Linked DNA regions of Caenorhabditis elegans. The gene in region 1 interacts genetically with each later gene. Each region holds a gene or a part of one and is shown on either strand. Other genes may lie near its edges. The genes, in order: W03G1.5 and daf-8.

The links.
Region 2: of W03G1.5 (region 1) and daf-8, changing one enhances a phenotype caused by changing the other (phenotypic enhancement), as found in Caenorhabditis elegans (one study listed by BioGRID).

The regions. Positions count from the first base shown.
Region 1 is NC_003282.8:504,393-508,539, forward strand, and holds W03G1.5 (PB1 domain-containing protein), read right to left. Parts: upstream 2,093-4,147; coding exon 677-2,092; downstream 1-676. Other genes in the region: pig-1 (Maternal embryonic leucine zipper kinase), read right to left, coding at 2,666-2,755.
Region 2 is NC_003279.8:8,583,904-8,589,633, reverse strand, and holds daf-8 (Smad protein daf-8), read left to right. Parts: upstream 1-2,126; 5' UTR 2,127-2,144; coding exon 2,145-2,237; intron 2,238-2,797; coding exon 2,798-3,274; intron 3,275-3,471; coding exon 3,472-3,671; intron 3,672-3,875; coding exon 3,876-4,268; intron 4,269-4,391; coding exon 4,392-4,675; intron 4,676-4,884; coding exon 4,885-5,078; 3' UTR 5,079-5,210; downstream 5,211-5,730. UniProt on the Caenorhabditis elegans protein: Probably a receptor-regulated SMAD (R-SMAD) that is an intracellular signal transducer and transcriptional modulator activated by TGF-beta-like daf-7 signaling.

The DNA.
Region 1 (4,147 bases):
TTTTTCTGTCGAAAAAAGCCTTGGAACACCAGTATTACAGCATTATTACAAGTACGTTTGACCGATGTTTGTCTGCTAGGTACACATGCAAACAATTTTGAACCTACGAAGTAGACTGAAATTTATATAACACTGCCACTAAATTAACATCTTCATATCGAAATTTGTTACTAATAAATAGCAACCAACATCCAACTTCACTTTAGTCAATTCGTCATATTTCAATTTTCCATTACTCCGATTTCATATTTTGCAACCTCTAAAGCATAAACCACACCGAATACTACAAACTCTGCGTGTCTCAAACAAAAGCAAACTACACACTCATTGTGTCAATTCCTCTCTCTCTCTCTCTCTCTCTCTCAAATTGTTCGTCGATCAACAGAAAGTGGTCGAGATGTCTTCGCCTTTTGGAAGCGATCAGTTGGCCTTTTGGGGAAGCCTAGGAGTCTGGTGGAAATTGGAAAAAAACAGACGGAAAGGAACTCATGTTTGTTCAGTTGCCTAGGCAATTGCCTTCCTGGAAGAATCAATGTTCTCTTTTTTTTATTTCACCTGAAAATCTGAAAAAAAAACAAAAAACATAACACGATTTTTTTATTTATTTATTTACAACTTTATTGATCACAAATAAATATACATTATGCACAGTATAATAAGCATCAGAATTAAGAGTTTATGGGGAGAACGAACGATGTCCATTATGATGATGGTGATGGCAGTGACCGCCACGACGATGTGGAGGCCAGAATGGTGGTGGTGGTGGGCATGGTGGCCAGAATGGTGGAAAGTGATGATGTCCATGATGCGGTGGGAATGGACGGCATCCATGATGATGATGGTGGTGGTGGCCGTGACGAGATGGAGAACGTCCATCATGGTGATGATGGTGTGGTGGTCCGTGGTGTCCATGACGCCCTGGGCAGTGTGGTGGCCCGTGACGTCCTCCGTGCCCGTGTCCTCTAGGAGAGTGGGAACGGGATCCATGTCTTCCATGGCGTCCTGGACAATGTGGTGGGCCGTGGCGTCCTCCGTGACCATGACGACCTCCTGGAGATCCGGAGCGGGATCCATGCCTTCCGTGGCCTCCATGACGACCTCCACGATGATGCCCTGAGCCTCCGTGACCATGACGACCACCTGGAGATCCGGAGCGTGATCCATGTCCTCCGTGGCCTCCATGACCATGACGACCTCGTGGAGATCCGGAGCACGATCCATGCCTTCCGTGGCCTCCATGACGACCTCCACGATGATGCCCTGAGCCTCCGTGACCATGACGACCACCTGGAGATCCGGAGCGTGATCCATGTCCTCCGTGGCCTCCATGACCATGACGACCTCCTGGAGATCCAGAACGGGATCCATGGCGTCCACCGTGTCCACGACGTCCTCCCGGTGACCCCGATCTTCCACGATGCTCAACACCTTCGGACTTTTGCTTCTTCAGCTGCTTCAACTCTTCTTTCTTTCCTTGCTTCTCGGGCTCCTCATGTCTTCCGGGAGATCGTGATTCAGAAGATGATGATGACGAGCTGGATCCTGAGCGGCCACCACGTCCTCCACGTCTTCCACGAGATGGAGATCGGGAAGATCCAGAAGAAGAAGAGGAACTTCCAGAACGCTCACCTTTCTTCTTGCGATCATTTTCGTCATCGCTGCTTTCCGATCCTGACGAAGACGACTCGGATTCCGATCTTCCATGAGACACCTTCGAGAATGAGGAGCTGCTGCTGCGACGATCATCCTCATCGTCTTCGCTCTTCAGATCCTTCTTCAGACCCTTCAGATCCTTCTCACCAGTTCCCTCAGCGTACAGCTTCACCACAAACCTCGAGAACTTGATCGCCTCCTTCAGATCCTCGGCTGTCTGCAGGAAAATCTGATCCTTCTCCCGATCGATCCAGAAAATGTTGGCAAAGTCGACCTTGAACTCGGCGAGCTTCTTCTTGAGCTTCTCGAGCAATCCGGCGACCTTCTCATACTTGATAGAGAATAGATGAGCCTGTTTCGAATCTTTAGCAGTAAGTTTGAAATAAACTTCGCGCCCCGGGCGCTCGCGGCGGTGGTGATGATGATGTCCGTGAGCCATCAGTAGCGACTCAATATGACAAAATAACTGCATCCGCTCTCGCTTTTTATACTCGGCCACTTGTTTTTCGTGAGATCAGCGGCAAAATGGGTGGAGTCACTGTGAGAGTAAGACGGCTAGAGCAAATACGAGTTAGAGTTTTTGGCGCTGAACACTTGCGCAACCTCACTAGTGTAGTGGAGAAAGCACGTGTTTTTTTTTGGGGGGGGGGGGGAAAGGATTATTTGTGGCTGGCGGGAAAACAACTTTTGAAAGAGATCTTGATCATTCATACCAAAAAAAGGCGGGGTATCATTGGATAAGAAGAGCATACGAAACAAAAACTTAAATTCGAGGGATTAGTAGAGAGGAGAGAGGAATATTCAAAAAATATTACACGATTGGGAAAAATTCGAAAAAAACAGTTTCGAAAACAACTTGGAACAATAGAAAATAAGAATAATAATAATAAGAATAATGATAACGGGATTGATATTCTACACACACACACAAAAACCCAGGAAGACGAGAATTTGGGCGAAAATTAGGGGGAAAATTTAAGAAAAAGGAAAACAAGAATATTTATAATAGGAATTATTCGATTTTCGCCATTTGAAGAATCTTCTCGCACACCTTCTTGTACATGAACGCGTCACCTTTCAGACGCTTTCTGCGGATTCCGACCTGAAATTTTAATGGATTATTTTTTGGGTCAGGTAATGGGAATTTTTATTGGGTAAAAATGGATTTTTTGGCTATTTTTGTTTTTCTGGCATGTTTTCAGTTTTTGAAAATCGCACATACATTTTTTAGTTTGTGTATTCTGTGTTTTCTGGTTTTTTTGGCAAAAAATACAATTTTTCCGTTTTTTTTTTGCTGAAAATCACTAAAATTCAACTTTTAAAAAATTATGAGAAGGTGTACAATTTTCCAAAATATTAAGTTTTTCAAAATAACGTTTCAAAATTACACAATTTTTAAAATTACACAAAGCTTTTTCGTGTTTTTGGCAAAAAATGTTTTAATTTCTTTCGGAAAAAAAATGTTTTCTTTTGGAATCAACCCTACTTTTTGCCGAGCTTTTCACAGTTTTTAGATTATTTTTTTGCCGTATATTTACGCATTTACTGATAAAATCGCGAATTCATCATTAATTACCAAAATATCAAGTTTTTCAAAATAACGTTTCAAAATTAGACAATTTTTAAAAATGTTTTTTTAAACTCAGATAAACTGGAGTCACGGCAGAGCGACAGAAAATCACTTCTAATCAGCAAAAGCTAGTAAAGCCATAGTTTATCAGCAGAGAACCACTGCTAATTAGCAGGTCATTGCTAATTAGCTAAAAAGCACTGCTAATTAGCAGAAACCCACTGCTAACTAGCAGAACATTGATTATTGATTTTATTTTGTTTTTTCTTCGTCGTATTTCACATATTTCATTTTTTTGACCTTTTTTATTGTATTTTTTGTGTGATATGTTATCAATATGTGTTAATTGTTAATTCCAGTGTGTTTTTCAAAGATTTGTATCATTCCCGGCTAGAAACGGAGGATTATGGCCAGAAATCCAAGAACAACAGTTCGAAGAATTTTGAATTCAGCACCCCGGAGTCTTCTGATTCAAAGCGTGACAATAGTTGCTCTAGGTAAATTTTTTAAATGATTTTATTGGGACTAAATAACTACTTTCAGACCCGACGGACAATAATCATGGTTCTCACCAGCCGGGAAGCAATGGTCCATCAAATTCAAGCACCCAGGCCGATAACTTCGAGACGGAAACAACTGCAGATGAAGAACGACAAAAGGAAGATGGTGTAGAAGATGAACTCGAAGACGAAGAAACAACAGGATTCATTGATGAAGACGGGGAAATTCGTTATCCGGTCGATGAAGTGGGAAATTACGAGATCGATCAAGAAGCTGAAACCGATGAGTCATTTTATTTGGACACTCAACGCGATTCTTCTCTATGCGACGAGCGAAGTCAACTGTGTCGTTCTCTGAGCGATCAAAATCTGAGAACAACTTTTTTCCTCATCACTACTACCAACTCGAAAGCAGCCATTTTGA
Region 2 (5,730 bases), on another chromosome or scaffold:
ACTTGTAGAAAAAGCAACGTAATTGTCACTGAATACGAAAACGTATAGCAAATTTTGAAAATGTTAACTATGATGTTCGCCAATTTGACCATATGAGTGATTTAATTTAAACCTTTAATTAAAATTTTCATGAATGTGGCCGAGTTTTTTCACATTCGCGGCCACGCAACGCAGAAATATGTACATGGGTACAGTAACCCCTCCTGTCGAGTTAAATATACTCTTATAGGAGAGAGCTCTTAACTATTCACATGTACGAAAAATAATAATATTTGCCAATTTTCTCGCTCTCAAAATTCCATTTGAAAGAGAGAAAAAACTGTTCTCGATACACGAAGAAACATGCGATATATGTTAATCATAAAACCTTCTAACTTTTTATGTCAGTTTCTATTCTCTTCTCGATTCTCTTTACTTACGAATTCTCTTTCTTCTTCTACCCTTCATCTGTTTTGCTCGTTGTGCAATTGTCAGGAGACATTTAATCCGAGTTAATCAAGAATTTTCGAAATTTATCTGAATCCGATTTTGTTTCTCTTCAAAGTCAGAAGAAATCATAAAAATAATATAAAAGAGGAAGAGGATTATACAAATTTAGAAACATTATTCATTCTTTTTAATCATGATATCTCAAAGGATGTTGTTTACTTCAACTTTTGAAAGGATTTTATAGATAAATTGTTATGATTATTTACTTGTTTTGTTTCTTCCTCCAGTATTTAATCTGTGGTCACTTCGTGGTCTTCAAGGCTTTAGGTTCAGCTCATTTTGGTTGTTTAATAGTAAGTCATATGATACGAAGATTCACAGAATGATTTGATAATAATAATAATACGAAATCTCTTTTTCTATAATATTCTCAGAATGTCATACTTCTATAGAATTTATAAATACATTATTACTGTTTTGAAAACCTTTTTTTCCTAATCTATTCGCCGTCAATTTGGCGTTCTTCTAACATTCAGTATTCGAAATCAATGTTCAAAATTTGCTTAGAGAACACCCCAAAATTAGGTTCCGTCCATATCTTGGCTTTTTTCGCCGCCAGATTCAGAAAAAAACTGATTTTCTGTGAGTTCTATTCTATTTTTTTAATTTCTTAAACAATTGGAAATGGTACAGTGTGTTATAAAATAGTTTATTTATTCTGGTTCCTCATGAGAGCACCTCAATAAAAAGTAGTGACGTACATCCATCTGAAACAAAAATAACAATATGACGCCTTCTTAGTAGTACTTATGTTAGTTTCTATTAATGGACTTTTTTTTAAAATAAAAACTCAAAATAGTCAAAGAAATTCTAAAAATGGACATTTGCTAAAATTTAAGAGAAACGATTTCAAAAGATGAAATTATACTTTCCTCCCAACTTTTTTGCTTTTGATAAATTGCTGGCCGAGTTATAACTATTTCTAGGTCACGTATCAGAAGCCGGGTGAGTCTTGAGATCTTCGTGATGCCTTGTCATATCTAAATGAACGAAACTTGAATAAATTAATTAGGAGTCATCGGCTTCATTGAGTTCAGAAAAATTCTGTATAAAACAAAATCAAGATTCAGGTAAATATCTAGATTTTCGATCATTTTGGAACCGCGTTCCTGATATCGAAAAAACTTCGAATCCATTTAAAAGTTGAATAAATCAAATGAAAACTTCCTCTCATTTTTCTTCATTTCTCTCTCTATTTTTCCTTGATTTTATAGGTGATGACGATTCTGATCAACACAAAAATCTTATCACAAACTGTTGTTTCTTATCATTTTTTACACGTTCATACCAGTTTTCATTCCGAGTTCTTGAATTTCATAATTCTTTCATTTCGCCTTTCTATGTAGATATTGAAACTCCGCCCATTTGAGTAGCTCACCTGACTCTTATGACTTACCAGAAGGTTCTATTATCATTTTGGATATAATTCTGTTTTCTGATTCAAATTTTTTTTGAATTTCGGCAATGCACAACGAAAAATATTAATTTCATATATAAAATCATCTGTACTATTTATTATTCTTTATCCCAAATCAGTCCTTTTTTGTGGTCGTTGCTTTTTAAGCTCGGCCCATTTTTTTGGATTTTATTCTAGCCTAACATCTCCTCCCATATTTTTTTTAATTCTTCGAAATTTCAGTTTTAAAACTACGAAAATGGACGATTTTCCTTCACCAGAACCTACTGATCCCAGACTTGAGGCAATGGCTCAAAAAGTGTTAGAAGAAACTATTATCACTGAAGGAGATGTATGTTTTTGAAGATTTGAAACTTTTTTTTTGAATTTTCAACACAAATAGTCTCGCTGGCTACTTTTAAAAATTAAAAAGCCATCTGCAAATTTTAAATTTCATATTCTAGGCCAGCCGGCGAGCAAGTAAGTGAACAAGAAACTTTAAAAAAGAGCAGAGTTGAGAGATACCGTATCTTGATCAAACATCAAATGTCCAGACATATTAGCGAATTTTTATTTTAAAATATTTAGAATCAACCTACATAAACATTAACTTATACGTTTTCTAATTTTAGAATGTGTCTCTCAAATTAGCCTTTTCTTTTAAAACAGGAAACAATTTTTTTTCAAAAATAGTAATACTTAAAGAAACTGAAAGGATATTTACGACAAAAGGTTTTAATGTATGTTGGAGACTCGAAAAGATCCAAAAAAAAAATAAAGAGAAAATTACAGGAAAAGAGAAAAGCCCATATCTTGTTTTTTAAATTTTGTTATAGTAAACTTTTCCTAAGAAATTCAAATCCTTAAAATTGCCCTATTTGAAGTGTCAAGCTATCCTCAACTATTTTTTAGGGAACAATCTACTGGGCTCTCAAAGTTACCCGATTACTCTCTAGAGTAGCTAAAAAACACCAGTGCTTTGAAGCTTTCTACGATGCCGTTATTAAAGGTGATCCAAAAACACGATGCTGTCCTGCACACAATGAGAAACTCATTGGAAACTTTGGACGAGCTATCATGTGTGTCTTGAGAGCATTCAGATTTCCGGTTATTCGATATGAATCTCAAGTGAAATCAATATTAACGTGTCGACATGCATTCAATTCCCATAGTCGGAATGTTTGTCTGAATCCGTATCATTATCGATGGGTTGAACTACCGACGTGCCAAGTTCCACCAATTATTGTAAATAAGGAATTGGATTACGGTGAACCTCCGATTCGGACTGAGGATGCACTGGATGATTGGAATCAAAAGGATTTGAAAGAGGAACAGGTGGTTGCAAGTTGGGATGTGCCAAATGTGACGATGAGAGGAGATGAAATTAAGGTTTGTTGAGAGATGATATCCCTTTTTGAACTCTTTCCAAAATGCAAAATCCAGTAAATAAGTTGCAATTAATCTTTTTTTTTCTTTAGAAATTTTGGAAATTTGCAAACTTACCAAAAACGTTGACTGAAATATTTGCACGTATTTCTACAAAACATCCACTGTCACCCCCTCACATTCAAAAATAAAAATTTCAGCTTCTCTATGATCGATATGCAGCTGAAAACGGAGATTTTCAATATATGAATTACGGAAATTTTGGCTCTTTTGATGGAAGTCCGTGTAGCTCTACCACGATGTCATTAGGATCATCTTTCGCATCGTTACTGCAACAAAGTAATCGACAAGACGACGAGGAACCCGGATATTATAGATCTGGACTCTCATCTCCAGCTAGGTACGAATTTCACTTTTTTGGAATTTTTTTGTTTTTACAATACTGATTCAACAATCTAAAGAACTGGCTAAACTGAAAGTAGAATTCGAAATTCGACCTAAAGGTTGAAAAAAAAATTAAATTTGGCGGTCGGGCCGACGAAACTGTTGAATATTGGAAAAAATTGAAATATTAGTTTAGATCTATAAAACTTTAAATTTACAGTCATGCAGCTTCTCCTCGAGAGTTTATTCCAAACGGAAATGATACAATAAGTCTGGATCAAGAAATGATGGATGATTCCGAAGTTAGTGACATCATGCATTCCGAGAATTTTTCATCAGAGAACAATGGAAACCGAAAGCCAACGTATGCAGATGGACGGCCTATCACACCAATTGAACCTCGACCACTCTATCGATCTTCGGCATTAGAACTTGGAGATCTGTCACGACAGGCTGGAATATATGAATGTGTAGAATATGAAGAGTCGCCGAGTTGGCTGAAATTAATTTATTATGAAGAAGGAACGATGATTGGAGAGAAAGCCGATGTAGAAGGGCATCACTGCCTGATCGATGGATTTACAGCTAGTCGCACTGACTCAGAAACCAGAAGGTTTGTATCATTGACAGAAGCCCTGGTCTAGAACTTACACGCATCTGAATTTTAACTACATTCACTAGTGTACACTGAACTAAAACATAAATTCAAGTAAATATCAAAATAACATCATTACAGCCGTTTCTCGCTTGGTTGGTACAACAATCCAAACCGCTCTCCACAAACGGCCGAAGTTCGTGGTCTCATTGGAAAGGGTGTTCGATTTTACTTGTTAGCTGGTGAAGTCTATGTAGAGAATTTGTGCAATATTCCTGTTTTTGTACAGTCAATCGGTGCAAATATGAAGAATGGTTTCCAATTGAATACTGTATCAAAGTTGCCTCCAACTGGAACTATGAAAGTTTTTGACATGAGATTATTCTCCAAACAGCTGAGAACAGCAGCTGAGAAGACATATCAAGGTGAGAGTGAATTAGTAATTTCTATTATATCATATTACTTTTCGTCCAAAGTACGGCTATTGTGCGATATATCAAAATTGTCAACTAAAAATAATTTATAAAAAGTTTTTGACATTTTTTGGTGTATAGTTTTTACCGATGCAACTTTCGGAGAATACGAATTCTCAAACCTTCTAGTCAGCTACATTTTTTTTCTTCCAACATTTCAGACGTCTACTGTCTCTCACGAATGTGCACAGTTCGTGTTTCGTTCTGCAAAGGTTGGGGAGAACACTATCGTCGTTCAACCGTCCTCCGATCGCCTGTTTGGTTTCAGGCTCATTTGAATAATCCGATGCATTGGGTCGATAGTGTACTCACTTGTATGGGAGCTCCACCACGTATATGTTCATCCAGAACTTAGCTTCTTTCTTTGCCAAAATCCTAATCTCCAATTTGCGTGTGATCAATTTTGTTGATAGAGAAAGGTTTTTATTTTACTCTAAAACATCAAAACGAGTTTTAAAATTTTTTATTTAAAAATTTAGATTTTAAACTTTTTCTGTGTATTTTTACATTGTTTTTGAGGGCTTTAGAACTGCTCGAGATTTCTTTTTGCAGCTTTTAAACGACTTATGTCAACTTTAAAAGTGTTTACAGTAGCCAAATATTCTAGAATCCTTGGAAATGTAATTTTGGTCTGATTTTTTCCGATCGAGCTTGATGGATTAAATTTAATATTATCAAAAAAAAAAACACTTTCAAAAAGCTGCCAGGATATTCACTTAAATATAAACCCCCTAAAATCCTTGGAAATCATCAAAATAGTTATCCGAGCAGTTTTACGTCCGTCGAAAGTAGTGCACAGTTACGCTTAAAATGTTTCAGATCGAAATTTTATTTATCCAGAAAGTGGCTTAGAGTTTTACAGTGATCTGTTTTCAATAAGTAATTTAGTATTTAAAAAAAGTTTCGTTTTGATATTGGAGCGTGAAATCAAAACCTTTTCTTGCGAGAGTGGAGCACTTTACTTGTGAAAGGATCGGTTGAAAGGAGGAGGTTCTAAGAATTGTAGA